Linked DNA regions of Oryzias latipes. The protein of the gene in region 2 interacts with the protein of the main gene of each other region in a pairwise test. Links are inferred from orthologs where the notes say so. Each region holds a gene or a part of one and is shown on either strand. Other genes may lie near its edges. The genes, in order: sf3a3 and tada2a.

What was found.
Region 1: the proteins of tada2a (region 2) and sf3a3 interact in binary tests that used the Homo sapiens proteins (3 or more experiments, as listed by UniProt). The two-hybrid records come from large-scale screens. The link is inferred for Oryzias latipes from reciprocal best matches to the Homo sapiens genes TADA2A and SF3A3.

The regions. Positions count from the first base shown.
Region 1 is NC_019869.2:17,926,358-17,941,806, forward strand, and holds sf3a3 (splicing factor 3A subunit 3), read left to right. Parts: upstream 1-6,724; 5' UTR 6,725-6,879; coding exon 6,880-6,975; intron 6,976-7,076; coding exon 7,077-7,124; intron 7,125-7,847; coding exon 7,848-7,900; intron 7,901-7,991; coding exon 7,992-8,097; intron 8,098-8,654; coding exon 8,655-8,727; intron 8,728-9,092; coding exon 9,093-9,184; intron 9,185-9,263; coding exon 9,264-9,346; intron 9,347-9,426; coding exon 9,427-9,565; intron 9,566-9,645; coding exon 9,646-9,714; intron 9,715-9,785; coding exon 9,786-9,853; intron 9,854-10,085; coding exon 10,086-10,193; intron 10,194-10,277; coding exon 10,278-10,347; intron 10,348-10,429; coding exon 10,430-10,594; intron 10,595-10,676; coding exon 10,677-10,787; intron 10,788-10,870; coding exon 10,871-10,961; intron 10,962-11,047; coding exon 11,048-11,103; intron 11,104-11,203; coding exon 11,204-11,281; 3' UTR 11,282-11,445; downstream 11,446-15,449. Other genes in the region: ubiquitin-conjugating enzyme E2 E1, read right to left, coding at 72-122, 437-582; glycoprotein endo-alpha-1,2-mannosidase-like protein, read right to left, coding at 14,379-15,015. UniProt on the Homo sapiens protein: Component of the 17S U2 SnRNP complex of the spliceosome, a large ribonucleoprotein complex that removes introns from transcribed pre-mRNAs.
Region 2 is NC_019871.2:10,128,140-10,143,315, reverse strand, and holds the start of tada2a (transcriptional adapter 2-alpha), read right to left. Parts: upstream 8,860-15,176; 5' UTR 8,759-8,859; coding exon 8,734-8,758; intron 8,344-8,733; coding exon 8,237-8,343; intron 6,716-8,236; coding exon 6,656-6,715; intron 6,575-6,655; coding exon 6,483-6,574; intron 3,923-6,482; coding exon 3,765-3,922; intron 3,111-3,764; coding exon 3,022-3,110; intron 2,828-3,021; coding exon 2,755-2,827; intron 2,665-2,754; coding exon 2,601-2,664; intron 1,217-2,600; coding exon 1,173-1,216; intron 1-1,172. UniProt on the Homo sapiens protein: Component of the ATAC complex, a complex with histone acetyltransferase activity on histones H3 and H4. Required for the function of some acidic activation domains, which activate transcription from a distant site. Binds double-stranded DNA.

The DNA.
Region 1 (15,449 bases), on a different chromosome or scaffold from region 2:
AATTTATTTTCAAGTCCTGTATCACAGAAATCACTACATTCACCTGCATATTGTCAAAATTAAACATTTACCTGCAGTTGGGAGGAGGATCCAGTGTGATGTCAGCCAGCTCCTTTTGAATTCTGAAGGAAAACACAAGATTTGTTTCCTCATATGTTGTACTACAGTGGTCCAAGAATGGAGCCATGAGGGACACCTTATCAGTACCAGTTGGCATTCATGATCCGAAACCCTGTTTCCAGATCAAGTTAGAACACTGACGCTCAATGATATCAGCACAATGTTTTGTAGGCCGATAAAAAGGATGATTATCAGCATCTCAAACATGCTAAATCTGTCTCGAGGACTAGTCCTGGATTTTCCTAAGTAAGAGAAGATCCAGGACCAAGGAGATCTTCCATTAAGCGATGAGTACAGTATAAAACTCAGCACTGACCTTTTAGCGCTAGTGGACAGTAGTTTAGAGCTCTTGCTCATGCTGGCTTTGCTGTCTTTCTTTTTCAGATAGTTGGTCTCCTGTTGCCGGTTTGAAGATGAAGATGAAGAGGAGCTTGAGCTGGCTCTGGAATCTTCATCCGACATGCCGAGCCCCAAGAGCAGATAAAAACTGGAGGAAGGCTCTGAAACAAATCGTAAAACTTGATTGACTGACTGACTGTAACAAACAAAAACCAAACATAGTAGAGAGCAGCTTTTCATCCACAATGCATTTCTTCTTTGAGGTAAGGAAGTTCTCTTGAACATTAGTAAAATAAAAACCAATGCTTCTATGCAGATAAACTAGGAACAGCAGGAATAACCGTAGATTTATCCTAAACCAGCAGGTTCAGCTTTAACGAGAAGCCTCCATACCTAAACTATGGTATTAAATAGCACTAGTAGCAGACTCCATTCTTTAACCATCAGGGTTGAGCCTCAGTTAGATTTTCAGAATAACCAACAGGAATGATCCTGCCGAGCTTCTTCTTTTTTTTGTTGTCACATCAGCCTTCAACAACGGAACCGTCTGCGGGAGGCTCCGTCCAGGTTCTGACCACCACACACCAGAGAGATTAACCAAGCCGCACACCCGAACCCCACTGTCGAACGAGTCTCCAAAGAGTGCTTGAAGAGGCAGAAAAGGATTAGCACCGTCCCTACACAGAACCCGACTCAGTTCGACCCGATGAACTTTCGTGCGAGGAGAGTCAGCGAGGCCGCAGCCAGAGACAGTGCTGACTTCACCGAGCGCCTCTAAACGCCGCACAAAGGCGCCATTACTCCTGAGCTGTAGCCTGGACTAACCTATCTGCAGCCCTGGGTTGATGGGCTCCGCTGACCCCGGTCCCTGTGCTCTCAGGCGGACTGTCAGAACACAACCACGAAACCCACGTCGTAGTCAATTGTTCAGTTCACGCGGCAGCTTCGTGAATACCATCTATGTGCGCGGGGAGACTGCGTGCCTCCGCCGCTGAACGCAGCACGTACGTCAGTCTGCGGAGAGGAGCTTCCGGTTTCATCCCCCAAAATAAGAGCTCATAGAATTGCTTTATTCATTGAATTTTTTAAACTGTTTTCAAATATCTATCGAGAATAAAAAAAACATTTTCTTTTCCGTGGATTAAATTATTTTTAACTCTTTCTTTCTCTTTCGGCTTTTCCCATCAGGGGTCGCCACAGCGAATCATCCTTTTCCACCTCACTCTATCATGGACATCTTCTACCCTAACATTAGCCAACTTCATGTCCTCTGTTAAGACATCCATGTATCTCCTCTTTGGCCGTCCTCTTGCCCTCCTGCCAGGCAGCTCCATCTCCAACATCCTTCTACCAATATATCCACTATCCCTCCTCTGAACATGTCCAAACCATCTCAGTCTGGCTTCTCTGACTTTGTCGCTAACACAGGCAACATGAGCCGTCCCCCTGATGTACTCGTTCCTTATCCTGTCTAACCTGGTCACTCCTAAGGAGAACCTCAACATCTTCATCTCCGCTACCTCCATCTCAGCCTCTTGTCTCTGTCTCACTGCTACCGTCTCTAACCCATAGAGCAGAGCTGGTCTCACCACTGTCTTGTACACCTTTCCTTTGAGTCTTGCTGGCACTCTTCTGTCACACAACACTCCTGACACTTTCCTCCAACCGCTCCAACCTGCCTGCACTCGCCTCTTCACCTCTTTTCCACACTCCCCATCACACTGAACTGTTGACCCCAAGTACTTAAACTCCTGCACCTTCTTCACCTCAGCCCCCTGTAACCTAACGCTTCTACCTTGATCCCTCTCGTTCAGACACATGTATTCTGTCTTACTACGACTGACCTTCATGCCTCTTCTTTCCAGAGCAAACCTCCACCTCTCTAGCTGTTCCTCCACCTGCTCTCTACTCTCACTGCAAATTACGATGTCATCTGCAAACATCATTGTCCAGGGAGATTCCTGTCTTACCTCGTCTGTCAGCCTGTCCATCAGCATAGCAAACAAAAAAGGACTCAAAGCTGATCCTTGGTGTAGTCCCACCTCCACCTTGAACTCCTCTGTCTGACCTACAGCACATCTCACCACCGTCATACTTCTCTCATACATGTCCTGAACTACTCTGACATACTTCTCTGCCACTCCAGACGACCTCATACAGTACCACAGCTCCTCCCTCGGCACCCTGTCATACGCCTTCTCTAAATCTACGAACACACAATGCAGCTCCTTCTGACCTTCTCTGTACTTTTCCATCAACATTCTCAAAGCAAAAATGGCATCAGTGGTGCTCTTACGGGGCATGAAACCATACTGCTGCTCACAAATCTCCACCTTCTTCCTAAGCCTGGCTTCCACTACTCTTTCCCACAGCTTCATTGTGTGGCTCATCAACTTTATTCCTCTATAGTTGCTGCAGTTCTGCGTGTCACCCTTGTTCTTAAAGATCGGAACCAGAACGCTTCTCCTCCATTCCTCAGGCATCTTCTCACTCTCTATAATCCTATTGAACAACCTCGTTAGAAATTCCACTGCTGCCTCTCCTAAGCACTTCCATACCTCCACAGGAACGTCATCAGGACCAACGGCCTTTCCGCTCTTCATCCTTTTCAGAGCCTTCCTAACCTCATCCTTTCCAATCTCTGCTACTTCCTGCTCCACAAAAACCACATCTTCCTCCCTTCTTTCCCTGTCATTTTCCACGTTCATCAGCTCCTCAAAATACTCCTTCCATCTTTTCTGTACACTCTCCTGGGTTGTTAGCACCTTTACATCTCTGTCCTTAATCACCCTTATCTGTTGCACGTCCTTCCCATCTCTGTCTCTCTGTCTGGCTAGCCTGTACAAGTCCTTCTCTCCTTCCTTTGTGTCTAACCTGTCATATAGCTCATCGTAAGCTTTCTGTTTGGCCTTTGCCACCTCTCTCTTCACTCTACGCTGCGCTTCCTTGTACTCCTGTCTACCTTCCTCAGTCCTTTCTACATCCCACTTCTTTTTAGCCAACCTCTTCCTCTGGACGCATTCCTGTACTTCCTCATTCCACCACCAAGTCTCTTTACCGTCTTTCCTCTTTCCAGATGACACACCTAGCACCTTCCTACCTGTTTCCCTGATAATTTCTGCTGTAGTTTCCCAGTCATCTGGAAGCTCATCCTGACCACCCAGACCCTGTCTCAACTTCTGCCTAAATTCCTCACAAGTTTCTTCATTCTGTAGCTTCCACCACTTGGTCTTCTTTTCTGTTTTCCCTCTCTTCTTCTTCCTGACCTCCAGAGTCATCTTACACACCACCATGCGGTGCTGTCTGGCTACACTCTCTCCTACCACCACTTTGCAGTCAATAACCTCTCTCAAATGACCTCGTCTACATAGGATGTAGTCCACCTGGGTACTCCTACCTCCACTTCTGTATGTCACTCTATGTTCCTCTCTCTTCTGGAAGTAAGTGTTGACTACAGCCATTTCCATCCTCTTCGCAAAGTCCACCACCATCTGTCCCTCCAGATTCCTTTCCTTCACACCAAACCTGCCCATCACCTCCTCATCACCTCTATTGCCCTCACCAACATGCCCATTAAAGTCTGCTCCAATAACAACTCTCTCTCCTCTGGGGAGACTCTGTATGACCTCATCCAACTCACTCCAGAATCTCTCCTTCACTTCTAACTCACAGCCAACCTGTGGCGCATACCCACTGACTACATTCACCATCACCCCTTCAATTTCTAACTTTAGGCTCATCATCCTGTCTGAGACTCTTTTCACCTCTAGAACACTGTTTACAAACTCCCCCTTCAGAATCACTCCTACCCCGTTTCTCTTCCTATCAACACCATGATAGAACAGTTTGTATCCTCCTCCAATACTACGTGCCTTGCTGCCCTTCCACCTTGTCTCCTGCACACACAGTACATCTACCTTCCTTCTCTCCATCATGTCTGCCAGCTCTCTGCCTTTCCCTGTCATTGTGCCAACGTTAAGAGTCCCTATTCTCAAACCTATGTTCCTGCCTTTTCCCTTCTCTCTCTGGCCACGGGCCCTTCTGCCTCCCCTCTTTCTTCGACCAACAGTAGTCAAATTTCCACCGACACCCTGTAGGTTAACAGCATCGGTGGCGGTCGTTGTTAACCCGGGCCTCGACCGATCCGGTATGTCTAAAGTGGTGTGGATGATTCGCATGGTTATTTTGGCAATTTTTACGCCGGATGCCCTTCCTGACGCAACCCTCTCTATTTATCCGGGCTTGGGACCGGCACAGAGGCAACTGGCTTGCAACCCCTGTGGCTAGATTGGATTAAATTATTTTTAACTAGATTATTTAAAATAAATTCACAATAAATTATATTGTCAAAGTTGTTCAAAAAAACAAATTCAGTTTGGTAGTTTGCTCATGCATGAGCAGTAAAAGGTAGATAATAGATGAAAAAGGTTAAATATGATAAAAAATAAAATTAAAAAAGAAGAAAAAAGACAGCAATAACCCAGCAATAACGGAACACAATATGAGCCATTAAAATATCTGTGTGGCATAATTAGTGACAATATTTTAGGTTCATCAGAGGCAGAATCAGATACACACAGAGAAGGAATGACAACTTTTGTTTATTCTGTTTATTCTAGTTTTCATAAATGTCTTTTCAAGAGGATTGTGATGTGAACAGATTGTGTCCTGGGTGGGGGTGTTTCACATCTGTGTTTCTGGAAGTCAATCATTAAATCTTTTGTTTTTCAAACGTTTAAATCCAGTTTTTTAAGCACACGATGCTGAACTTTTAGTTTGTTGGCAGCTTAATTAGTTTTTGTCCTACCACAGCTGTGTGGTGGAACTTGACAATGGTGTTTAAATGATCAGTTGTGGTTCAGTCTTGTGTAACTAATGAATAAAGAAGAGGGGCAAGGACACTGCCTCGAAGCGTTCCTGTGTTTAGGATGAGAGAGGATTAAGTACTGATAGTTTGTGGTAGATATTCTGAGAAGAAGAAGAAATTATCTCTGTGTGTCCGTTAGTGTCCTTGCAGCACTGTTGAATCTGTTGAAGACCCAACAGATTATAAAGGGTTAAAGTCAGGACAGACAGGAGGAAAACACGGAGTAAAATCAGAACACTGTGGCGCCAGTCAGAGACAGCAATCACTTTCCGATCTCTGAATGATTGATCGCTGCGTCTCCTGTGGAAGCAGAGCATCCAGGAGTAAAAGCATCCAATCAACAACTGCTAATGAATAAAAAACAAACAGAAGGTGTTGAGCGGCTGCAAAAAAAATGCTATTGGTCTTTACATTGCGTGGCTTAAAATATTGCATGGGCTAAAACATTTGTAAAATATTGAAATGCAGAATGAGTGTACTCTACAACGCAATTTGTGCAGTGTTGTTCTGCACATCATAATGGTTTTGGAGAGGGTGGATGATGGCACTTTTACCTACAACAAGGGTGTCACAGTCTGATACTGAATATGTTACTGAGAGATTTAACAGCATGATGACGGGTTAGGAGGGATTATCCATGATAGATGTCAGTTTTACCAGCCTCCTTCTGATTCAGACTTCCTCAATAGTAGCCAGTTTGTAGCCCAGGGCCGAGCCAGCTCCCTTGATTTTGGGAGGACTCACAAAGATGTCCCCCAAGTGACACCCTGGGCAAGGCGAGATCCCCTTGCTCCCCCCTTGCCGATGGAGGTAGTGTCTTTGTCAGTTGAAGCTATCCGGAAATTGGGATTGGTGATGACCCATGTCCTTGTGAAACACATTATACCGAATTCTCTGCTCTCTCCCTATGTCCTGATGAACACTTTCACTTCATCCATGTAATTTGCACAAACCTCACATTTTCATTGATGACTGTGGGAATGCAGGACTTAAACTTCTTGTTCTTCATCCTCTGTTAGAGCTATACTCTGAAGCATCACCACCTCCTCTCTAAGGTGGGTCTTTCTAGCTTGAAAGTCTTAAATTCATATTTTCAAATGTATATTTGCCTCTAACTGTCAAAAACAACGAGAATCTGCATTTCTTGCTCATATACAACATTATAAAACACGAACAATGCAATGAAGTGCATTTTTTCCAGGCAAAACATTTACACTTCCAGTCTAGTTTAAAAACAACATTCCTTAAAAAAAAGTGACAAAACCAAAAATATTTTATATTAATGAGATTCCACGATCTAAAAGTAATTTTGCAAACCAAGCTTTGAGTATTTTTATTTAAAGTAATAGTTTAGTGTATGTCTGTTAGGGAAGCGGTTATCAAAGCGGAACCGTTTTACTGGGGGGTGTTTCTTCAGAAACTTATCTGGTGACGGACCCCGGCGTACGTTAGAATGCTTCAATAGAAACAAACGTAGTAGCTTTTTTTTGGTTTCATTTAGCGTAAAAGACAAGAAGAAAACAGGCAATCAAACTACGAGATATTCCCGAAACATGGAGACTATTTTGGAACAACAGCGCCGCTATCACGAAGAGAAGGAGCGGCTCATGGACGCCAAAACCAAAGAAATGTTACAGAAAAAGTCAACGGTGAGCTTAGCCGCTGCAGGCTAACGTTGGCATTACGTGCCACGACGTTATCCTCCTAAAACAGAAAATTAATGGTTGTAATGTGTTATTTGTTGTTTCAGCTTCGGGATCAGATTAATTCCGACCATCGGATTAGAGCCATGCTCGATGTAAGTAGAATTTAAAAAAAAAAAACAACGTTTTGTTGATGCTAACACAGCGGCAGGCTTACGCCACCGCTACAATGCTTAGAGCATAGTATTAGTTCAAAAGCTACAGATAGTTTTAAAATAGACATTGAAACATTGCCTTCTTAACTTAAGATGAGCTATCTTAAAGACGACCAATCATCCATAAGCTGTTGAGACAAGTGAAAATTTTACTATATTTCCTACTATAGACAACTCAAAGCGAAAAAGTATATAGTGGAGTCAGAAGAAGGACACATGATGATGAGAAGGAATAAGTGTTTTTTACTCCGATTATGAACTCATTTGTCCAAATAGAATAAGGAGACACACAGGTAGGTGTTGCTGCTTCCATTCATCCAGCAGCTCCATTGACTTCCATTTTCCGGTTTGAACTTAAAAATTTTGAGTTTACCTTCAAAGCCATTCACAAAACTAGACCTGTCTGTCTCTCAGATCTGGACATTTTGTTTGTATGTATTTTACAAGTAGTATTATCTAAATGAGATGCAATATAAACTACTGAAAGCATAGCTGTAGTAGCTTTAAATGAAGAAAGGTTGTACAAATATAACAATAACAGGCCGTCATAATTAAGACTTTGAAACTAAAATGACAAAAGAAGTTGAGATGTTTATTTTGATGATAGCACTTTAAAAAAATGGAATTATTCAAGAATGCTTGTGTCTAAATGTGTTTCGTCAGAGATACATGGATGTCAGTGCAAACCTGCGAGACTCCTATGAAGACAAAGATGGGTGAGTGTTGTAGTCTTAAGAACCCACAGGTCTGAATCTTTTCTTTTTCTTTACTGCAGCTGTTTTTTTTCTTCTTCTTTTCTTTTGGCAGCATGAGGAGAGACGAGCTCGCTGCCATCTCTGGACCAAATGAGTTTGCTGAGTTCTACAACAGACTCAAACACATAAAGGAGTTTCACAGGAAGCACCCCAATGAGGTACAGAATCCAGAGTTGTAACAGCACTGCTTTGTGTGGTTTGACAGATGGAGTTATTTATAAACGCTGCTTCATATCAGGAAAAGATTTAAACTATAGAGTGTGTTAGTTATTGTGTTAGGAATTGTGTTAGGAAGGCCATCCTGGGAATCATAAGATGATTCCCTGTGGTACCCACTGTAGGGAACAACTGAAAGGTAAAGAAATAGACTCGGCCACTTAGGTATCAAAAAATACTTTTCCTGTTCTGGGGTATGGACATTATTGGATTATCAGTCAGAAGCGCAACACAAAGCCCTCAGTATGTCAAATGTGTGTTTAATAGACCGACACATTCTGTGCCGGAATGTTGCTCATTCTGCAGAGCTTGAGGGGAACTGCTCTCTTTGGAGCGACTGAAAGTTGTGGAGGAAACCTTTTTGTGCATCACAGGATTGTTTTGCAGAAAATGTCAGCAGAAGGACACTTGGTGTTTTAGTAATGGCCATAATCCATGTGGAATTGTTGATGGTCATGTGACCTTCATTAAACCGTTTTTTAACATGTTTTCCTTGTAGATTTCCATCCCCATGTCTGCAGAGTTTGACGAGTTGATGAAAGCCAGTGAAAATCTCAGTGAGGAAGCTCAGAGTAAGTCGGATCCACCTCCAAAGCATTCTTTATCTTGTTCTTCTCTTTTACAAACATTAACTCTTATTAACAAACAAGAGTTCTTTCTCAAAGTACACATCTGTTTTAGTTTTTCCACCTTTGGTGAGCTAGATCCTAAATTCATTTTTTTTTGGGGGGGGGGGCTTAAATGTAGGAATTCCCTTCACAAGCCGGCAACTAGCCGGCTTTAAGTCTTTTTTTTGTATTGTAGATAAAAAATATATATATATATATATTTGGTCTAAAGTGTTTATGGATTTAATTTTAAAGCCTTTGTTTTAGTTTTAGAAAAATCGAGCAGAATAGTTTGAGTCTGGTTTGACCCAGATTTTTGTCTGCCTCAGACATGGTGGAGTTCACGGATGAGGAGGGATACGGCCGCTACCTGGACCTCCATGACTGTTACCTGAAGTACATCAACCTGAAGGGGTCTGAGGTCAGGATCCATCAGATCTGCTTGATCCGTGTCCAGATTCACATGAAGGTGCACTTTCTAACTGCCCTGTGGTTCTCAGAAACTGGATTACATCACATACCTGTCTTCCTTCGATCAACTGTTTGACATCTCCAAGGACCGGAAAAATGCTGAGTACAGAAAGTAAGTGTTTGTTCCGGCGAAAGTTCCGCTGTTTTTCCGCACGCGAAGCATTAAGGTGGAAAATGCTGCCGGCTGTGCAGATACTTGGAGATGCTGCTGGAGTACCTGCAGGACTACACCGACAGGGTCAAACCCCTGCTGGACCAGAACGACCTCTACGGCAAAGTGTTGACCGACTTTGAGAAAAAATGGGACAACGGGACCTTTCCAGGCTGGCCTGTAAGTTCTCCTCATTTGTCCAAACGTTTGAACACGATCTCAGATTTAAGAAACGTTGAACATAAACGTTTCTGATGCAGAAAGAAACGAGCAGCGCTTTGACACACGCTGGAGCTCATCTGGACCTGTCTGCCTTTTCATCCTGGGAGGTACACAGCGTTCATGCATGACTGATTGATGCGGTTGTCTTTCCTGTTTAATGCGTTTCTCTGTTTCTCAGGAGTTGGCCTCTTTGGGGTTGGACAGGTTGAAGTCTGCTCTGATGGCTCTGGAGCTGAAGTGTGGAGGGTGAGTGCTGCTCAGCTCTGATTGGTCTTTTACTATAGGAGACCAATCAGCCAATTTCAAAGCCTTAACCTCTTTGGTTGTCCTGTTAAAACTAAATGTCCTCTGGGTGACGTCAGAGTTTACCTGTCCAGCAGTTGAACTTAAATAGTGATAAAACCCTGGGGTTTGTTGGACATTTCTGCTGTGGCCTGATGGGCGTGAGGAAAAACCAGCATGATGTTGTTTGCTCCAGGACTCTGGAGGAGAGAGCGCAGAGACTCTTCAGCACCAAAGGCAAATCTCTGGAGTCGCTCGATCCATCTCTGTTTGCCAAGAATCCAAAAGCCAAAGGCCCCAAAAAGTAAGCAGTTTTAAAAAGGTATCCAGTCTAAATTTGATGGTGTTTTGTTAACGTCTCTATTGATATTCCCCTCCTCCCCCTCAGAGACACTGAGCGCAACAAGGAAATCGCATTTCTGGAGGCCCAGGTGTACGAGCTTGTGGAGATCCTCGGGGTGAGTGTGGAGCTGGTGGACTGGCTTCTGGTGCAGCTGTGACCTCGGAAGTTATAGCCGCCGCCTCGCTTGTCCTTCACAGGAGCAGAGGCAGCTGACACACGAGAACGTGCAACGGAAGCAGGCCAGGACAGGGGAGGAGCGTGAGGAAGAGGAGGAGGAGCAGCTCAGTGAGAGCGAGAGCGAAGATGAGGATAACGAGATCATCTACAACCCCAAGAATCTGCCCCTGGGCTGGGATGGAAAGGTAAAAGCCACCCGAATCATTCTGTGACGAGCTCTCAGCTTCAGTCATCGGAAGCTTCCTCTTGTGATCTTCTCCTCTCCAGCCGATCCCATACTGGCTCTATAAGCTCCATGGTCTGAACATCAACTACAACTGTGAGATTTGTGGAAACTACACCTACAGGGGACCCAAAGCCTTCCAGAGGCACTTTGCAGTAGGTGTTCGTTGTCAATGTGGGGTGTGCGTTTAAACGCGTGTGGGGGTCAGGTGTGGAAAAAAACCCGTCTTGTGTTGCAGGAGTGGAGGCACGCTCACGGCATGCGCTGCCTGGGGATCCCCAACACGGCTCACTTCGCTAACGTCACACAGATCGAGGACGCAGTCTCCCGTGAGTGTCCCGCTTGATGGGTTTTGATGTGTGTGCTTGTTGCGAGGGGGGGGCGTGTCACCTCTGATGTTTGTGGGATGTTGCAGTGTGGGCCAAGCTGAAGTCCCAGAAGGCTCTGGAGCGCTGGCAGCCAGACACAGAGGTGAGGTTTCCTCCAGAAAACTGTTGAGAACATGATGTGGACATGTGATGTGGACATGTGAGGGCTCACTTCTCATCTTCCCCCCCATCTGGACTGACAGGAGGAGTACGAGGACTCCAGCGGAAATGTGGTCAACAAGAAGACCTATGAAGATCTGAAGCGGCAGGGCTTGCTGTAGTTACTCAGGAAGGAGAATCTCCATGATGACTTTTTTTTTTAAATCATAACTGCTTAAAGTTTCCTGTTTTAGTCAGTAGAATGTTTTCCAGCTTGAGTTTTTTCCTCATAAACCTTTCTAACATGTCAATCTGTGAACAATAAACTGAAGACTTTTTACACAGATCTGATTGTCTGAGTTTGTGCAGCACACTGACCCTCATCTGGGAGAAACACTTCTACTAGAATCCTTATATAGAATCCAATTGATGACATTTCAGAGCTTCATTGACAGTTTTTATCCTTAGGGAAAATAAATGCAGCAGAAGTCATATTTTCTGACATGTTTCAGCTCATAACTGTAAAAACGGACACTGATGTCTAAAAAGAAGATTCCTAGCCGCACGGGTGGAGTTATGACAGATTAGGTATTTTAGCTGTTGAGCTGAAAGGTTTCTGAGTTCTCAGATTAAAGAAGAACTTCTGGTTCTTTGTCTCCTTTTAAATCTGTCTTTCTTTTATCTGTTTTTTTGTATAATTTAAATACATTGTAAATCAGCAGGTGGTATTTATCCCGATTTTTTTTTTTTAGCTATACAGTCTTTACAGTCTAAATGTTTTTCCTATAGTTGTCAACCTGTCCAGCTGAAATAGCTTCAGTTGTTTAACTAAGGAGCTATTTTTAGTTAATAGTCTTTTTCTTTTTTTTTATGCCTTTATAGACGGGGTCTATATGCGCTTGCAGAGGCAACTTTCAAGGGACCAGTGGAAAATGCCAAAGCCTTCAGTTTTTAAGAAAAAACAGATTCAGACTCTTAAAAAGTAGTAAAAGTCCACATGAGATCAACACTGAAGATAAAACACCTAACTGTATATTTAAGAAAGTATTTAGTCAATGTTTTCTCAGTAAACATATCGAGATTAATGTTTTGTAATTCTGTTATTCTTCAGCAGACTAAAGAGCAAGCATCTCCCTCTGCTGATGTGCTGTGATTTAGGCCACAAGGATCCAGGTCTTACACACCTAAAACCGTTTCATGAGTTAGTAACTCAAAAGATTCCAGCATCACTGGTTCCAAAGTTCTGAATTGTTGGGATATTGCTGAATTCTTCCTTGCTTGTAGACTTGTTTGGTCGAATTTAAAGAAGGATGTATTTGAAAATGTTGGTTTGACACAGGAAAATCATGGAGCTTCTTTCAAAAGCATGGATTCACACAATCTCATAAAAACAGTGAGATGAGCTTTAAGGCAAGTTTGTACGTCAGATGGACCGCCGCTTCCAAGGAGGTGATGGAAAGAAGGAGGAACCATGGAAACATGTTGCCAGAGTGACCTGTATGCTCTGCCGGTCAAAATAAAATGATAAAGCCTCCCGAAAGAACAAAAATCCTGGAATCGCCCCTGTTCCTGCCTATATCAGGCAAGTCTGTAGGACCATCCCAGAGGGGGAGGAGCCTGAAGCTTTTTTCTTTTATGGTTCCTGCAGAGCAAACTGTTAGAAAAAAAATCCCACACAGGAATGTAAACAGACATACTATATATTCACTTAGAAAATTACAGCAAGAACAATCATGGAGTTAGACTTCCTTTTTGTGAGTATTGATGTCCACACATGTAAATACGTTTTGCATCTGCAAAGGAAAATTTTTAAGGGCTAAACAATTAAGTGCTTTTGGAAAACTGTACATGAAAGATTAACAGTTGTAAAATTGTTTTGCACACTTGCAAAAATGTTTTTCTATCTTCAGAAACATTTGTCGAATCTTCTTGTGTTATTTAAGAAACATAAGATCATGGGAAACCTTTGTCGCATTCATGTTTACAGTCAGACCTGATGTGCCTGAAGAGAACCAGATGTTAATGTGAAAAAATGAAGAAATTAAACAGGAAGATTTTTTTAAATGTATGCACCTGATTAAACTGACTGGTTTTCCCTTTTGTATTAGCTTATTTCCTAATTAATTTCTAAATTAATAATGTAGGTAATGTAGCTATAAATAATTTAAAAAAGAAAAAAATGTGAATATTGAATCTTGCCAGTGGTAAAGAATCTTTCGTTAGCTGGAAATATCAATGACGTTTCCTGCAAGACAGAAAATTTCAGTTATTGTGTCAGTGCCCCAAACTGATGTCTTTACCTGGATTGAATCAAAGTTTATTTCAATTTATAGAAAAAAACAGACAGAAAAGTTGGAAACATATACAAATTTAAAATAAATGAATTTAAAAAGAAGTGCTGAAAAACAAAGCAAGTGGCTGAGGATGAACTTTGAGGTTCTAAATGACAGAAAAGTCTCCCCAGTGTTTGCCCTGCTCACCGTTTCATCTCATTGTTCAGATCATCTTTACGGAGACTGATTTATACTTGGAGCAGAAAATCCAAAACTATTTGAAACACAGACAGCAAAAGCATGGTGTGGTCAGGATTATCCCAAACAAAATAAAAGAAATCTGTTAAACTTGCTTTGGTAGCTAAAAGTTCAAGAATTTCTCCTAGTTTTTAGCTACATAACACAAGAAACAAATGGAAAAACACTCATTTACATTAAATAGAGTAACATTTTGTAATCTAGTGAGAGGTGATACACCGACTGGCTGCTGACTGGAGAAATGTGTTGAGTATTTGATCTATTCAGATGAAATATTCCTGTCAAAAGTCAGAAAATGGGACTTAAGTTTATGTTTGTAAGCCCCACCCCTCCAAAGAAAACACTCTTGTGGGTGTTTATATGCTGTTATGAGGACATGTAAAAATGTCTGAAGACAGGAAAGGCTTTTTTTTCTACGTGAGCAAAACCAATGTATCGCTGTATGTGTGTTTACACAAAGACTAAACCGTATTACAAAATCACCAAATGATTCTCAAAGTTTTTAACAGATCCACAAATTTTGTTTGTAAAACATATCTACATGTGTGGAGATCATTTAACAACTGCAAAATAATTAAAAAGAATATTTCTCCATAGAGTGTCCTCATCATCAGGGGAAAATTAGAACCTGGAGAAACTGGACTTCTTCTAACCATCATAATGCAATCAGGAAAAGACGACTGGCTGCAGCGAAGTAGCTTTTGACCTATTGGTCACGGAAAGAAGAGGTTTTCTCAGAGACTGAGGCTCACATCAGCCACTTGTCCTTCTCTTTGTTGAAAGTCTCGGCCCACTGCCGGGTGAGCTGCAGGAAGTGGTCTGGCTGGTTCGGCTGGTAGTCCAGATACAAACGTGTGACTGTTTTCTTGGGCACGGCCCTTTCTATCTGCGTGCCTTCGTGCCATTGGTTGAAGGACGTGATGGTGACTATTTCTGGCCTGATGGACAGGGCGGCCTGCAAGGACGTCTCATAGTAACGCCCGTTGACCCGGTTTCGGGTGTTGTGGTTGTTCCACGGACGCACGGCGGTGTCGATGTAACCTGGACCCACACTAGGGATGAACAGTAGATTATTTGTGTCACAGAAGGCCTTGATGGCCTTCCAGTTCTGGTGGGAGGAGCCAAACGAGAAGCCGTTGGAAGCAAAGTAGGTGTACACGCCGTTGAAGCCGCTGGCCAAAATGTCATACTTGTGGCGCTCCTCGACAATGAGGGCGAGGAAAATCCCATCGTATGGCGTGCCTCTGATGCTCCTGGAGCCTTTAGCTGTGAGAAGCTCCGCCCAGGACTCCGACGGGGTCAGGTAGGAGTCGTAGATGTAAAAGAGCGGCAGGACTTCTCCTGTGCTGGTCCTGAATCTGTAAAAGGCAGCATGTTTTCCATACCTGTGAAAAAAAAAGCATTTAAAATGAGTCAAAATTATGATGCAGCCATGATTTATCTGCAGTGGTATTCAGCTGAATGCACCAATCAAATAAATCATGCCACATGAAAGACCTCTGCAGTCTGATAGCAACAGTTGCTAGGCACGGCTGAATTAACTCCATACGGCTGCAGCGCTTGTGGAGCCAAACTGGAGCACATGAAGTTTTCATGGACTATTTTATTTTGAAAATCACAGACGTTTTCTTCTCTCTATCCTAAACTTCCTGTCTGGTTGATTCTGTTATTTACATCAACTAATGCCATGAGCTTCTCCGGAGGACCAGGTGAAGTGTAAAGTGATGACGCTTCACGGCTGCTTTCACCTTTAGAACAGGAAGTCCACCAATCTTGTCAAAATAAAACATATCTGAACAGGATTGCTACTCACGATTTA
Region 2 (15,176 bases):
TCTCTTGTTAAGAATTCATTTATGAAACCACTGAAAAATCTAAATACATTAATAAAAAAGGAAACATTAATAACTTTATGTGTTGTAAATGCGTTATGTTTTTCAATGTATTACTTCAGATTTAGGTGCTAGAACTTGCAAAGCAATTAAAATATAAATGTATTTAAAACTCAAACGTGTTCACCTAAAGGAATGATCCAGTTATGTTGCTGCATCAGAGAGAAACAAAAAAACCTCACTGTATTTTGTCGTTTTATCGCTCTGCTGATGTGCATTTGCCATACTTAACTGACTCAACAGGCGGACACACACTAAAGCCGGCGCCATTTGTTGCCGAGCAACAGATGAGCGTCAACAGCAGGCAGCAGAGCTGCTGTGACGCGAGGAGTGGCCGCGCACACGCCCTGGTCAAGTTCGACCATAGGACTTCAGCCTTAATTAGCAGCTGCCACCTCACCTGAGGTCATGCTCCTCACCCAACAGTGAAAACACAGAGCACAGCTATTCTGGTCGACATGGAGACGAGAGCGCAGGACCGGTGTGCTTCGTTCATTCCAGCACACAAACATAACCACCTGGTCATTCTGCCTCCAGCAGCACAGAGACATAATACAGTGAGCCCACAGCGAAAGACACGCACACACTCACACACTTTGACAGTCTCCATGACAACCAGCCTGCAGCTCTACAGCCACTCAAATTCTCTTTTGTCTTGAAAGGCTGGAAAGATAAGGCAGAGAAGGTAAAAAAAAAGGAGGAGGGCAAACTGGAGGGTGAAGGAAACATAAATAAAACATGAGAGGAGATCTGTTCCACTCCCAAACCGCAGACAGCTTTTTACACAGCAACACGTCGAGGTGTGACTGTGGGCTGGGTGGACTGAACTAATCTAATCACAGCTGCCCTCCCCTTTTTGTAACAAGAAAATATCTCAAACAACAGATGCAAAGCATCATCCAGCTTGCTGGAGTCAAAGCGCAAACAGGTGGACACTAGCTTAAAAAAAAAAAAAAAAAAAAAAAAAAAAAGGCCCTGGAGCTAAAGCTTCATCCGATTCCACAACAAAGCACCACAGAAATGTTGGTGTGCGTCCACGGTCAGCGCCAGGTTGACAGCAGAGAGCTGCTATGAAAACCGTCATGGGAGGGGGGGGGGCTCAGCAGGAGACTCACTCTGGAATTTACGGAGATTGATCAGTCCGTGGTCTCTGATGATCCTGAAAGACACCAGGATGTCGGTTTAGCTGCTGCTGTTCACATCCACCCAAAAGTTCGACTAACACTGGATCAGACTCAATATTCACAGAACTCAACTGAACTCAGCTAAAAATAAATCAGTTTGAGGGCGGTGAAAAACTAAACTTATCAAATAAAAACACATTTCTTCAATATCACCACAAAATTTGACACTTTTGCTTCTGAGTACAAACATTTGTAAACATAAACCTTTTAGGATTTTTATTTGGTACAGGATAACTAACAAGATCTGATTATCTGTCTGCAATATGATAAAAGACAGAGCTTACATTACTATTACCATCTGATTTGTTATCATCAACAGTTTTCCTTTGAAATATAATTTTTAAAAACACAGTTTCTGACGGTGATGCTGTACAGAAAATACATCTGATGATGTCACACATATCTATACAGAAATAAACATGAATAACTTGTAGTTTTTTTTAATAAAACCTAAAGAGTCTCTAGGAGCTGATTTGAGAGAGCTGCAGATTCTGTCAAATGTGATTGCAGAGGTTTATTGCCGGAATAAAAACAAAGAAAGGAAGTGTCTAAAAAAAGGTATGTGCCCAACCTAATAGGACATTCCAGCATGTTCCAGGAATCAAAAATTTATTTCCATGAAAGTACTTAAAGTTGCTTGCAACATTTTCTTTTCTAAACCGAACAGAAATTAGCTGGCTATGAAAAAAAACAACCTCTAATCATAAAGCTCTCATTGAATAAAAAAATATATTTTAAGTAAAACATAACTGTGATTTCATATTTTTTATGCAGTAAGATAATTTTAACCAGTTTGAATATTAAAGGTACACAAAAAAGTACTAATATTGAAAGTCACCACTTAAAAAAGCTCCACATTTGCACAGATAAGCAGAAAAGAGAAGGAAAAAAAATTGTTCATGTGAATTTGAAAGTGTTTTCTTCCAGCAGGAAAAACAGTTGCCCTGCCAGCCCAAAACTGGGCAGAAAGTCAAACTGTTCACAAAGACGTAGCCTTTGCCTGCGATGCTGCAAAAATATTTAGGAAATAAAAGTAGCTTCATTTAGAGCCTCTCACCTCAATCTAACGATGTTCATCTTAACAAGAGCTGAGGAAAAAGTCTAATGAAAAAGCATCACTTATTCTGCTATATCTTCATTTTTGTTTAAAGTTTTATTGCTATCAAATTATAACTGTTTGTAATAACTGATGCGTAATTGTTAAATAGAAAGAAGATGGGGTTTTTGGGTTTTTGGCTATGTTCTACCTGAAGATTGTGTTTGGGGAAACAAATCTCCAGAAGATCAGAACAGACGCTTATGGCGCCATCTGTTGATTAACTGGTGTTATTACAGGATGACGAATGCACAAGAACTTACTTCTTCCTTCTTTGCCGCTCCTTTAACCTTGAATGATAAATATCAACAACTGCAAGCTTGAGAGCTGAAAAAAAAGAAGCACACATCCCAGACGAGCATTAAACTCATAGCTGTTATGGTCTAGAGCGCAGTGGAGCAAAGAGGAAAATCTCACCGTGAAGGATGTCTGAGTCATCGTCCACAAAGTCGATGTCTTTTAAATCCCATTCTGCGTAGTTGTCAAACTCCTAAAGAGACACATGAAAGATGATTTGAGAATCCCACTGGCTTGATTAAAGTCCACAGAGCAGAAGATCTGATGCCTCAAAAGCAGCAACAAAGGCGTGAGCCTCGGTTCAATAATACTCACTCACAGCTCTGCTGTGGCAATTCATTCACATGGACAGGCTACGTTAGAACACAAAAATGACAGTGGCCTCACCTCCATGAAGTCTGCTCTGGCTGGCATGTAACCCGCCATGTCCCGAGAGAGCACCGAGTCAAATATGGGCCGGGGCGGGTCGTCACAGGCTGGAGTGTGGTGCACAAAAAAATAAAGATCTCACAGTCACTGATGTGAAGATTTTTAAACGGACTCGTGAATAAACTGTACTTGGATTTGTTTTTAAGCTCTGACACTGACTGCAACCACCTTTACCTGCTGCTCCTGTCCACATTTAGACTATTTGTAGATATAATATCATTAATCTTTTCTGGAAATTCTGAGACTGTGGAACAGCTTTCCTCTAAGAAGACTTAAAGACCCACTCCCATGAACATCACGTTTTTGGTGCTTTTACATCAATAAATAAAATGAAACATAAAATTGCATTTCTGAGTATTTCTACACAAGTAGTTGTGAATCTTAAAGAGGAGATGATCAATAAATAATATCTTCACCAATAGCCTTCAAAACAGATTTAAAACACAATTAAACCCCAAACAATCAGCTTTGCCTACGTTTAACGCATTAGCAAGCTGTCAAGGGTTCAAATCCCAGACAGTTATTGTGTGTCTTTGGGCCCTTTACCCCACATTGCCCTCATTATAGGAAACAGCTTTTTAGCGTGTCGTTTAAATGAGTAAATGTGAATGTACTGAGGTGCTTTCTTCATGCACGATGCCTTCATCTCATTCCTTCTCTGTAGAATCAAATGAAAGGAGAGTCACTATGCAGGAACATACGTTTGAAGGGGATTGCTCCTTCTGCAAAACGAGAATCTTTCGTTTTCTTCAGGCTGAGTAAGGTGGAGGAAAACAGGGGGTTGTTGATGAAATTCTTCATGTAGTGGCTCTCGCACTCCTCTTTGGTTTTTGTGCGCATCTGATATGCCACGTCCTGCCTGAGAAGAATGAACGCAGACAATTAGAGGACTTTTCTCAACATGGCATGTGTGAAAGATGATGTTTTTACGGATTAAAAGATACAAATTTGAAGTTTTAATTAAACCTGCAACTGCCTAGTATTCTGGTATTCTTATTACCTTCATTCCATTTAATTACCGTACTCAGATGTAGAGGTTCCAAAAAAAATGAATTAGCCCTTCTTTAGGCTTGAACATTTGGAACAGCATGAAGAAAATTCTTATATACCGTAATTTCCAGATGATAAGCCGCTACTTTTGTCACACGCTTTCAAACCTGCGGCTTCTTCAATGATGCGACTAATTTCTGCATTTTTATCTTTTTTTTATGCATATTTTCTAACGCCCGCTAGGGGCGCTCGAGCAGGGGGAATACGGTATATGTGTCGAGGAAGACGCAAGTTTAATGTGAATTCCCGCTTTGGGAATGAATAGCACAAAAAGACCCTCATTATAGAAAATGCAAGAAGAAATGCTTAAGCAGCTTTAAGTTAAAACCAATCGTTAAAAGCAGTGTGAAAAAATCCACCATCACCAACGGGTTTGGAAAACCCGGCTCAGGAGTGAATTTGCCTCAGAGTGACAATGACAGCGACAACGAAAGAGAGACAGAGAGAGTGTGGGGAAGAATATCTGACGCTGTTCCAATCTGACACTGAGGAGGAAAACCTCCATGGTTTCAGTGCACAGGAGGCGCGTGTCACGCAGAGGCGTGCTTATAAGTTACTGCTGCTTTCAGTGACTTTTTTTTTTCTTCTTTCAGTGACTTTTACCGGTATGTTTTTTTTTAACAAGCCCTGTTAGTGCTGTTACTACCATATTGCTGCCATGTCACAGGCACTGTTTGGAATAGAGCTGTGACGGTGTGGGATTTTTGATGACCGCTGTGATGAACACAAAATCCTCCGGCGGCTGCGTCGCAAATGAATACCGGTACAAGTACGACTGCACGATATGAAGAAAACTCGCGATATGCGATATTAGTAATTAATATTGCGATAACGATATAATTTGCAGTATATAAACAATTAGCAAAACAACCAAAAATATTATTCCCATTCCATTACAACAGCTTAAAAATTATACTACAAATGACCCTTGTTGACATAGGAGGCGAACATACAACATAATAGGGCGCCATCCGATTAGTTAACAACGTGAAGAGGTCCATCTCATTGGTCAAATGCAGAAAGGGATTCTTTCAATCCATTAAACACTTCAAGCTGCCATAAGATTGTTTGGCCACATCTAAGGTAACCATTTATTGCAAATTTGCTGTCTTTTGCGATATGCATATTGCACAGCTTGATATTGCGATAACGATAAATTTGCGGTATATTGTGCAGGCCTACGTACAAGTAATAATTACAACGCACTAATCTTTATTAACAAATAACCGTAACAACTAACTACTATCAATGAACTAACTATATTGGTGTTGTAGAATGAGTATGTGTGTGTCAGTGCACTGTGTGTGTAAGAGGAAGGAGCACTAGCAGTGCAAGAGTAAGTGACAGCCTCCCTCTAGCGCTGCACGCTCTCCCCTCTTTCTTACACACAGGGCTCGTGGTTTCAGCACATACACATCCTCATTCTACAACACATGTTTCAATGTGGGCACATGCAGCTTATGGACAGGTGCGGCTTATGTATGTACAAAATGTTTTATCCTTTAAAAATGGAATGGGTGCGGCTTATAATCAGGTGCGCTCTATATCCAGAAATGACGTTAATCTGTTCCTTTTAAAGAAGCACATTGCGACGTTAATAACAACACAAACAACAAAACTTTACATTTCTACATTTCTATCCCCTCCTTAACCCAGCTCGGTCTCAAGCTTACGTTTGTGGATGTCTTACTTCAGTTCTCTGCTTGTATTTTTTAAATATCCCATTTTTAAGCTTTTTTTTTCCAATCTATGCAACTATGCTTGTAGTTTCTTTCAATGTACTGTCCAGTGAGTTGCATAGATTGACTGCATATAGTGATATGTGTGTCTATTAGTTGTGCGTGCAAGTGGCAAATTATATTTCCTCCTGTCGCTATCGTCTTATGAAACAAAAGAAAAAACGGATTGAATGATGTTTGGGAGAATTTTCAATTTGGCTTTTAACATGAATAATAAAGTTTTTAAAAAATCAATTAAATTATTAGTGAATTCTCTGCTGCCTTTTTGTTGATTATACTAATTGCTTTTTTCTGTAAATGAAACAAAGGCTTTATATATATGGACAGAATATGCTTTTCCCCAAACTTCGAGGCAGTAACTAAATTACACTTAAATTAAAAAACAATATAACCACTGTTAAATAATATTTTCACCAATCTTCTTTTTTAAATAATTAATGTGAGATTTCCATTAAACAGCAGAAATGACTTGTAAAAATTGTCACATTTTGAAACCAAAAGACAATGAAACTAACATGACACCAATGATAAATAGCTAAATGATAAAACATTAAAAACTTGCTTTTTGAAGTTAGTAAAAATAAGTGTATTCAAAAAGAAAACACTGGTAAAATGTCTTCGACCTCTTACCAGTTCCCAAACCCGCAATCCATGACTGCCTCCAGCAGAGCCATCTCCTCCTGCGCCGTCCATCCAGGCTCCAGCACCGGGAAGTCTGAAGTCTGAGTCGAGGTAACACAAAAGATGCCCGCTAAACATGATGTTTAGCTACACCCGAGAAACTCAACTGCAGCTCCACTCACCATGATTTCATATCTGTGATCACTCTGATGCTTCTTGTATTCAAATCCTCTGGTAAAACACTGGAACGAAATAAGTTCAGGGTAAAGCTGGTCAGGTAAAAGACACGATTTGTTCATTAAATAAAAGTTCTTTGAATGCACTGAGGAGGTTTTCTTAACTGAGAAAAGTAAAACTTACATGCAAATTAAGTGAATTCATAAATTGTATCGATATGACGACCATGAAAGAAGCAGCAGTTATAATGTGGCTTATTTTTCAAATAAACCCAATCGTAAAGATCTGGTCATTTATTTCCCCATTAATTTAACAGTGAAGGAAATCATTTTGCAAAATAACAAAGTTCTAATCTAGAAAGAAAAAACAAGTGCATTTTTGGAAGTAACTAACAAAAGAATTTGTATTCAACACAGGTGTGTGAGAAAGCACAGTATTAAACCAGGTTAGACACAATTTGACTTCATCCTTTTAAATAATTTTAAAAGATTTCATAATATCAGTGTGCTATAAAACTATAATAAAGCGTCACTTTTTAAGAAACACATTTAGAAATGTGATCAACAACATTGTAATGTACTTTTAATACCCTTTTACTACAGAATGTAATACTATATTTAAAAACTGTACTTATTAATATATAGTTGATATATTTTATAGATACAAAATTAAATATGTCAATTATTTTAATTTTTAATAAAATTGTATCTATCATAGAATATTTGTAACAATAGAAAACCCTAGAAAATGTAACACTTAACACTCATAATAAAGAACATACATACAAAACATTATTTGGTTTAGCAATACGATCTAATGCTATTTGAACAAATTCAAAATTCAGAGTGCAAAAGTATTTTAATTTGTGCTACATGATTTTTTCTCAAATGTAATAATGTTTCTAAGGCAATAAATATATTATTTAATAATGGATGTAAGACTTACCGTATATCCTCCAATAATAGCCCTGACATTAATTGAAGACCAGCCACTATTGGAAGATATATGGTATTGGCAATGTAAAAAATAAATAAAACAATTGTTAAGAAACAGGATAATCAGTGGAACATGAAAGAACTGGACGGAACACCCTGACACCTCTTTATTATACACTGCCGTGGGATGGCATCATGTTCTTTCATTTGAATTTTTTTTCTCAAATCAGGTATAGTAGTTAGAAATCTGTGGAAGGCGATCAGTGCTGGGCGGGCACTGATGTGGAAACCTCCAGAAGTTCCAAAAATAAGGGTCAATCAATGGCTACAGAAATAAAAGCAGTTTGGCTATTTGGAAAACCTTGCATACCTTCTGCTGCTCATTGCACAAATGCGCGTTCCTCACAAATATGGACTCATTTAAAATATAAAGCAAACTAATTTTGCAGAAGTCTAACATTTATTGCCAAGAAGTTTTGCAACAACAACAAGGAAATACTGGGCTAAAAAAAAAAATCGTAAGGTTTTGTCCAAAGTGTTTAAACTGTGGTCTGTCTGCGTAAAGTTACAGCTGAGTTATTCGGTTTGTGTTCAAACACACATTCTAAAGAGCCAAAACAAACAAATTATAAGCATCCTCATCTGGCTTACCTGAAGACACAACAAAAAAGGTGAAGGTCCACATTCTGCGCACTTGATGTATGGTTCGGTTAGATGGGATGAGCAGCCTCTGCAAGGCGGTTTATCAAAGGGGTCATCTAAAATGAACAGAATAATTATATATATATTATCAGTAACAGTTTTAATAGTAACAACACGCAGTTAAAAAAGATACATATAGCCTAAAGTCGTGATTTTGGGGCAAACTTGAATGCACAAAACAGATGTTATCTTGGGCGAAGGACTAGCTTTACTAGTCGAGCTTGAAAATGATGATAATGTTGAATGTCTCAACAACAGGTCGAATATTTTCAACAAATCACTGCGGCAAACAAAAATAGCATTGTTTTTGACGGCGATGCTAATGCTAAAGATAGCTTAGCAGACCTTGCTTTATGGACAAAAACAGCTAACCTTCCAAAAAGTCGATGGATACTTGGTAAAACTGCAATAAATTCAACTGTGTGTATAATAATGCCAATACGTACCTGAAAAAGACGCTATTCGGTCCATTTAATTGCTATTTGCTTCTCAATAACAACACCAAAATTGAATTTGGGTCGATCTGTTTTTCAGAACTCGGCTATGTGCCTGATGACGTCATAACTAATCGAGCTCCGAATATCGATAGTTTTGGTCGTGTATCACCACACAAAATGATATATATACTATTATGTTTTAATAGTTGTGTGCCATGTCCTCATAGGTTCTTACAAAGGCAGAAGAAACTCAAAAATTTGAACAGAAAACAAATGTTGTTTAAAAAAATGTATGAAATATATAAAAAAGCCACATGGAATATTGCATTTTAATGCAAAATGATTTTTATAAAAAGGTATTTCATCTTTAACTTTCTTTTCCTTCTCTTAAGATTTTTGTTTTACATTTATTTTGCAATGGGGAGAGATTTTAACTTGTTTTTAGTTTCTCCATCTCATCACCATGACGACAGTACTTCCCTATATTGCCACAAGGTGCTGATCTTGCTCTATGTCTCTTAAGGCAACAATGAGCACCCTGAAAGCCTTTGTCTCCCTCCCAGCACAGATGATTACCTGAGGCTTGCATAAGCATCATGTGAGAAATAGAAATAAAGATGATGAATGTTCTGTGTCACAACACCCCCATGCTGCTTTTTGTCCTCCATAAACTTTTTGCAGAGGTGCTGCCTGGCCTGCAAAAGGCTTCAAGACATTTTCTTTAATATGAAAACCAGCAAATATTTATGAGTACCAATGTTTTCCAGTGCCTGTGTCCAGGTTTGGCACCCCCAATTCAAAAACAGCTCAAACACCCTCAAGAGCATGCCAGTGAGGGCCCATGAGGAGCCTTAGGAAAACAAATATCTGAAACCCTAATGCATAAAACTGCAAATCCACATGTGCCAAACTCACTTAAAGGTAGAAAAAATAAGTATTTGAGTGAAATGACTGATTTAGTACAGATGTGGCTGGAAAAAGGACTGTTTGATTTTCATGAAACCTCTTAACCTCTCTGCAGTTACTAATTATGACAGTTTTTATTCTAATATTTGCATTTCTGTCATTGATACCAGAAAATCTGATTCCTTCTTTCTTTGAGGTGATTCAGAGCAAATATATTTAGACTGCAAATCCCCACAGAGGATGAGGGCAGCTTCCTAAACCACATGATGGGTTAACTCTGAATGGGCTGCTCTGTTCCAGCTTGCTTGAGCCTTCTCTGTGAGTTCAATACATCCTGATTGGTCTGTTCGGTAGCATCCTAGCCTGCGACTCATCTCTGGAGCCTCTAGGGAGAGACACGGTTTTTAACGATAGTCTGTGTATGTTAAGGAGATGCACGCACACTCTTACTCTTTTGGAGGAATTTCCAGCTCACCGTCATACTAGCTTGTAATCATCCTTTGAGAGGGTCATGATTTATTCACCTATGAGGAGAGACTTCTCCTTTTTGTGTAACGGTTTGCTGTTGTGTGTTGAGCCAGAGTGAGCTTCCTTTTTTGTTCCTGGCTGCAGCATTCACACCACATGCCCACAAGTGTGTGATCAAACGTGGCTATAAAGGCCACAACTTTTCAGGACTATCTCAGCAGAAGAGCCCTTCTATCAACTGTTTGTTTCACTAAATTATTAAATTCGGAATAAATTGATCAGGAATTAGAAGATTTTTGGATGTCATTTATTATTGTTCAAGTGTTTTTTTTAAAACATTTCTCTATTCAAATTTAATTGATCCAACATGCACTCAGTATATTTGTTTGTTATTCTTAGAACTTTGTAAAGTTCATGCTTTTTTTGTTTTAAAGGTCTATTTAACAGCCTTAAAGATTCTAAGGAGGCCTAAAATCGGCTGAAATGGCATGAGACCAATCTGGGGACTTTTTGAGAGATTTTTACGGTGACCATAATAATTTATCTTTATAACCGTTTTATGTGTCAATTTTAATATCCATTGTTTTAGTAAAACCCCAGATTATTTTCTTTCCTTGATATTCCTCATCATATTGAACAGCAATTTCACCACAAACCTGAAACTGACCTGAGTGGTAAAGTTAGTCCTTTTTTACTGCAAAAAAAACATCAAAAAATGTAATCAAATTGTTTTTTTATGTCTCATGGCAAAGCTTGAACATATACAGACAAAATAAAAAAATTATTTTTCCAAAAACAAAGCAAAGATATGATCAAAACAAAGAGAAAAATGTCTAATAAAACCAGACAAAGCTCCACAAAGCTATATGTTTAAGGGATTTGTTTCAAGGGGTATCTTAATTATGTGTCATAACAGTTGTCATGATTGGTCTGAACCAAAAGTTTTAAAGCTAAAAACCTTTTGAAAACCTTCATTTTGGGTGAAGAATATGCTAATGAGGGATCATTGTCATTCCTATGTCATCGTAAACAGCAAATGTGATTGTCCTTCCTACTACTGATCGTTAAATTATTCTGTAATGAACTTACTGTACAAGGCATAAAATGTTCATTTTTTTCTGCTGGGATGCTGGCATTTCATAGATGTGTGTTGGCTAAAAGACACGTCTGTGCCCAGCAGTTGCATTTAATTAAGTACAATTGTATGTGTAAGGACCATTTGAAATGTCACGGTCAGGATTTGCATTAGCACACAGTAGGAATTCACATCTTGGCAGGAAATGCAGAATGAATGCATTTTCCATACGGACAGTAACAAAGAAAAGCGTGTCAGATTTGTAGAGAGACGTGTGTGCTCCCCTGCGATGGCCTCTGCTTCAGCATCACCGCCTTGGGGGGAGGCACAGGACCGTCTGACTCTTCATCCCTGTTCCACCTCCTCCCTTCCTCCGGCGCCTTTACGCAGCAAAAATCTTTTTCTGCTACAGCTGTTTGCCAAAATATAACTGAAGCCCGACTCTTAAAATAAAAAATGCCCCCCCTTTAGTGCACACGTCTTTTCTTCCAGCAAATGCACCTCCCAGCTGCTGTGATTTAAATATAAGGGCCCCGTGAAGAAAAGAGGGCATCTGGCACACGCCTTCAGGGCCTTGACAAAAAAAAAAAGCACCAAACAAAGCAGTTAATCTGCTCCTGCCAATGAAAAATCCTAGAATACAAATGGGTCAATTCGGAACATAAGGAGAAGGAATGGACACAGGCCATTGAAAAAAGTCTGGACAAAAGACAAAAGGAGGAGGACAAGTGCAGGACAGACAGCCTCAATCAAAGATTTATATTCACTGTAGCAGCAGAGCTGATGACATTTATTAAGCTGCGCTATTCTTACTGTGGCAAACCAGCTTCTTTCAGGAGAAGGCGTTTTCTTGAAGCTTTTTTATAAACGTTTAAAAAAAATGTAAAAACATTTTGTGATTTGTGATCAAATCTGATAACTTGAGTCAGTTTCTCATCCATAGACAACAAAACTCTGAAAAAAGGGTTAATATATACATTTATTATGTCTTTTCCGATGTTCAAGAAACAAAATTAACTTAAAAAAAATATTATTTATTTTGAGAATAAACCAAGACATATAACAAGTACTAGTTCAATAAAGTTCACAGTGTCTGTATCGACAACTGAAATCTTAGGCTCTTCTTTTATCGGACACCCGTGTCTGATAAAAGATAAACATAATATCATATAACAAGTACATTGGAAAAAATACAAAATCTCATCAAGTATTTTTATCTAGCTTTTATTATCCCTTTATACTTGACATAAGACAAAACTAACTTAACAGTAACTGTACAGTACGCTGTTATGACTTGTTTTAAGACAATACATCTTGAATTTTTGGTTGAGTCATTTAATCTTGAATTCTTGAACAAAACACTTTTTCAAACTTTTCTTGTAAGCTAAAGTTTTATTTTTGAAAGCTCTTATTTAACTGACTTTCTTGATTTCGTTTTATTTACATATATATTTTAAAACATATTTATTTTAAAATTTGCAGCTCTAAATAGTATTCTTATTTTTTGGTGAAATGGTCTAGAAATAAGGATAGTTGGATAGTTGCTGTAGTATTTAAAATTGGATGTATTTTGGAGGACAAGTGTCTAAATATACATACTTGCTAAAGATGCTAAACTTTTTATGAGCAAAACACGCCTGGTTTAAGAAATCATTTTTCCAATTACCAGAGCAATACACTTTAATATGAATGTTTAAAGCCTATTTCAAGCTTTATTTAATCTAAAAGGGCAAAACAATTAGTTCTATTGGCAGATTTTTTTCAATTATAACAACAGAGAAATGTCTTGTTCTTTTTTTTCTGTGAGAAAGACTTTTTTCCAGAGTAGCACGAAAAAGTGCAACATACAAAAGACCTGATGCCCGAAAAATAAAAAAACTAAAGTCTTTAATACTGAACAGGACTTCCCAGTTGAAACAGGATAACTTGATAATTAGAAACTAAGATCTGGTGTAACAGTAACTTGGGGGAAGACCCAAAACAGAACTTAAAGACTAAATAAGATTACATCAAATGCCAAAAACTAAACACGACTGAGCAAATCTAAAGAACAAAACACCAAAAAGATAAAGCAAAGAAAGCAGTGTCAGCGTTCTAACGTGGGCAGATGTACACGTTTGTGTGTGCAGTCAAAAACACAAAGACACAGTGGAGCAGCTGTCAAGTGGCAGACAGCATCCTTTGTTCAATGACAGATTTTAACAGCAGCTCCACTGCATATTGCCACACACTCACGTTCCAGATTTGCTGTTAACTACTTTCATGTTTTTGGTTCCTGACTTAGAAGAGATGGTAGGAAAAGCGGACAAACCAGAGAACCAAATCTCGACAGAAGAGTGTCTCAATCTGGAGGAATCCCCACATGACAGAAGTAACTCAAAATCCCGTCTTAAGACTCAGAGCTAAGTGTGTTGACTCAGTTACATTAAATAGTGTAGTTTTTTCTGCCTGGAAGCCTCCACCAGCCTTGACTTTCAAGTGTTTTCCAAGCTGTTGACACACAACTGCACACTTCACATTTAAACGCAGCCACAAAACTATTCAACCATCCAAGCAAACGTGACTTTTTTCCAGAGTACTTGGTTTGATCTGAATAAATCAACAAAAAAACAAAAAAAGCGTCAACAAAAATATGTGTCATCATTCGCTTTTGCTGATGAAAGGTTCCCCCTTCACATGTGTTCCTCGTTCCAGCGAGTTCAGCGGCATCTTCTCTCCATGCCAAGGCGCCTTTGAGGAATCAGCACAGCGGGAGTTCAAGGAGGTCAGCAAGTGGGTGTGGAATGTTAGTTTTTCCCATGCAGAGCTACGAAACACTCCAGCAGAACATCTTTGTTGATACCTCACAGTTGTTTACCTTCAGGTTCATAATGGATTACATATAATGACAACCAATGCAGCCCAACCCTCTATAGAGACATTCTGTCAGGTATCAATCGATGTGATTTCAGCCACTGAGGAGAGTGTTTACAGAAGGAAAAAAGTGTTTCTATTTATTTATTTGCCTTAAAAGTCACCTTTTGGATTTTAAAAAGAACTGAGGGAATAGTTTAGTGTCAGAAACTCCACTTAAAAGGTGAGACAGACACTCAGCAGAGTTTTACACACAAAGTAAACTAATAGAAAATCTAAAACCCAACCAACCCAACCCTTTTCCAACATAAATCCAGAGACTGGCTATGTGTGTCCTTTTTAATAAAATGCTTCACCTTGACCTGTGACACAGGAAACAAGAGTTTGATGCAGTAATAATGGAATAATGACAAATGGGCGGGGGGCGTCTTTAAGATGGGGAGGTTACAGGTGCGGACAAATTAATAATACCTTTGCTTGAATTAAACAGAATCTTTTTGCATTAATTCCTATTAGACACAGAAAAGGAGTATGCAGCGATTTGTTGGATGGAACTAACAGCACATTATTCCTGGATAATGCTACCCTTTTGCTCTGTGCAGCGTTTGTTTTATGAGTTCAAGAACTGCCAAGATGTGTTTCACGCAGACCAGCAGCCAAGAGGGACAGCTTAACTTGGAGAAAAAAAAAGAATTTATTCAGACTTCGCCACCAGAAGCTCAACATTAATCAAAGAGCACTTAGAGATAAACTTTTAATACCCGAGTACATGTATGTGTAAGGCAAGGCAAGGCAAGGCAAGTTTATTTGTATAGCACAATTCGTACACAAAGTAATTCAAGGTGCTTCACAAAACAGAAAAATGCATTAAAATCACAATACATCATAGAAATAATCAACATAAAATTTACTTTAAAAGAAAAGAAAAAAAAAAAAAAGATTTAAAAAGAAAGGAAGGAAAGAAAAGTGCAGATAGGACCTTTCAGTCATATACACGGCTAAACAGAAATGTTTTAAGTCTAGATTTGAACATGAACACAGAAGAGGCCTGTCTTACGCCTTCAGGGAGGCTGTTCCAGATTTTAGCTGCAGAATATTGAAATGCTGATTCCCCTTGTTTAGTTCTGACTCTGGGAATCAACAGGAGGCC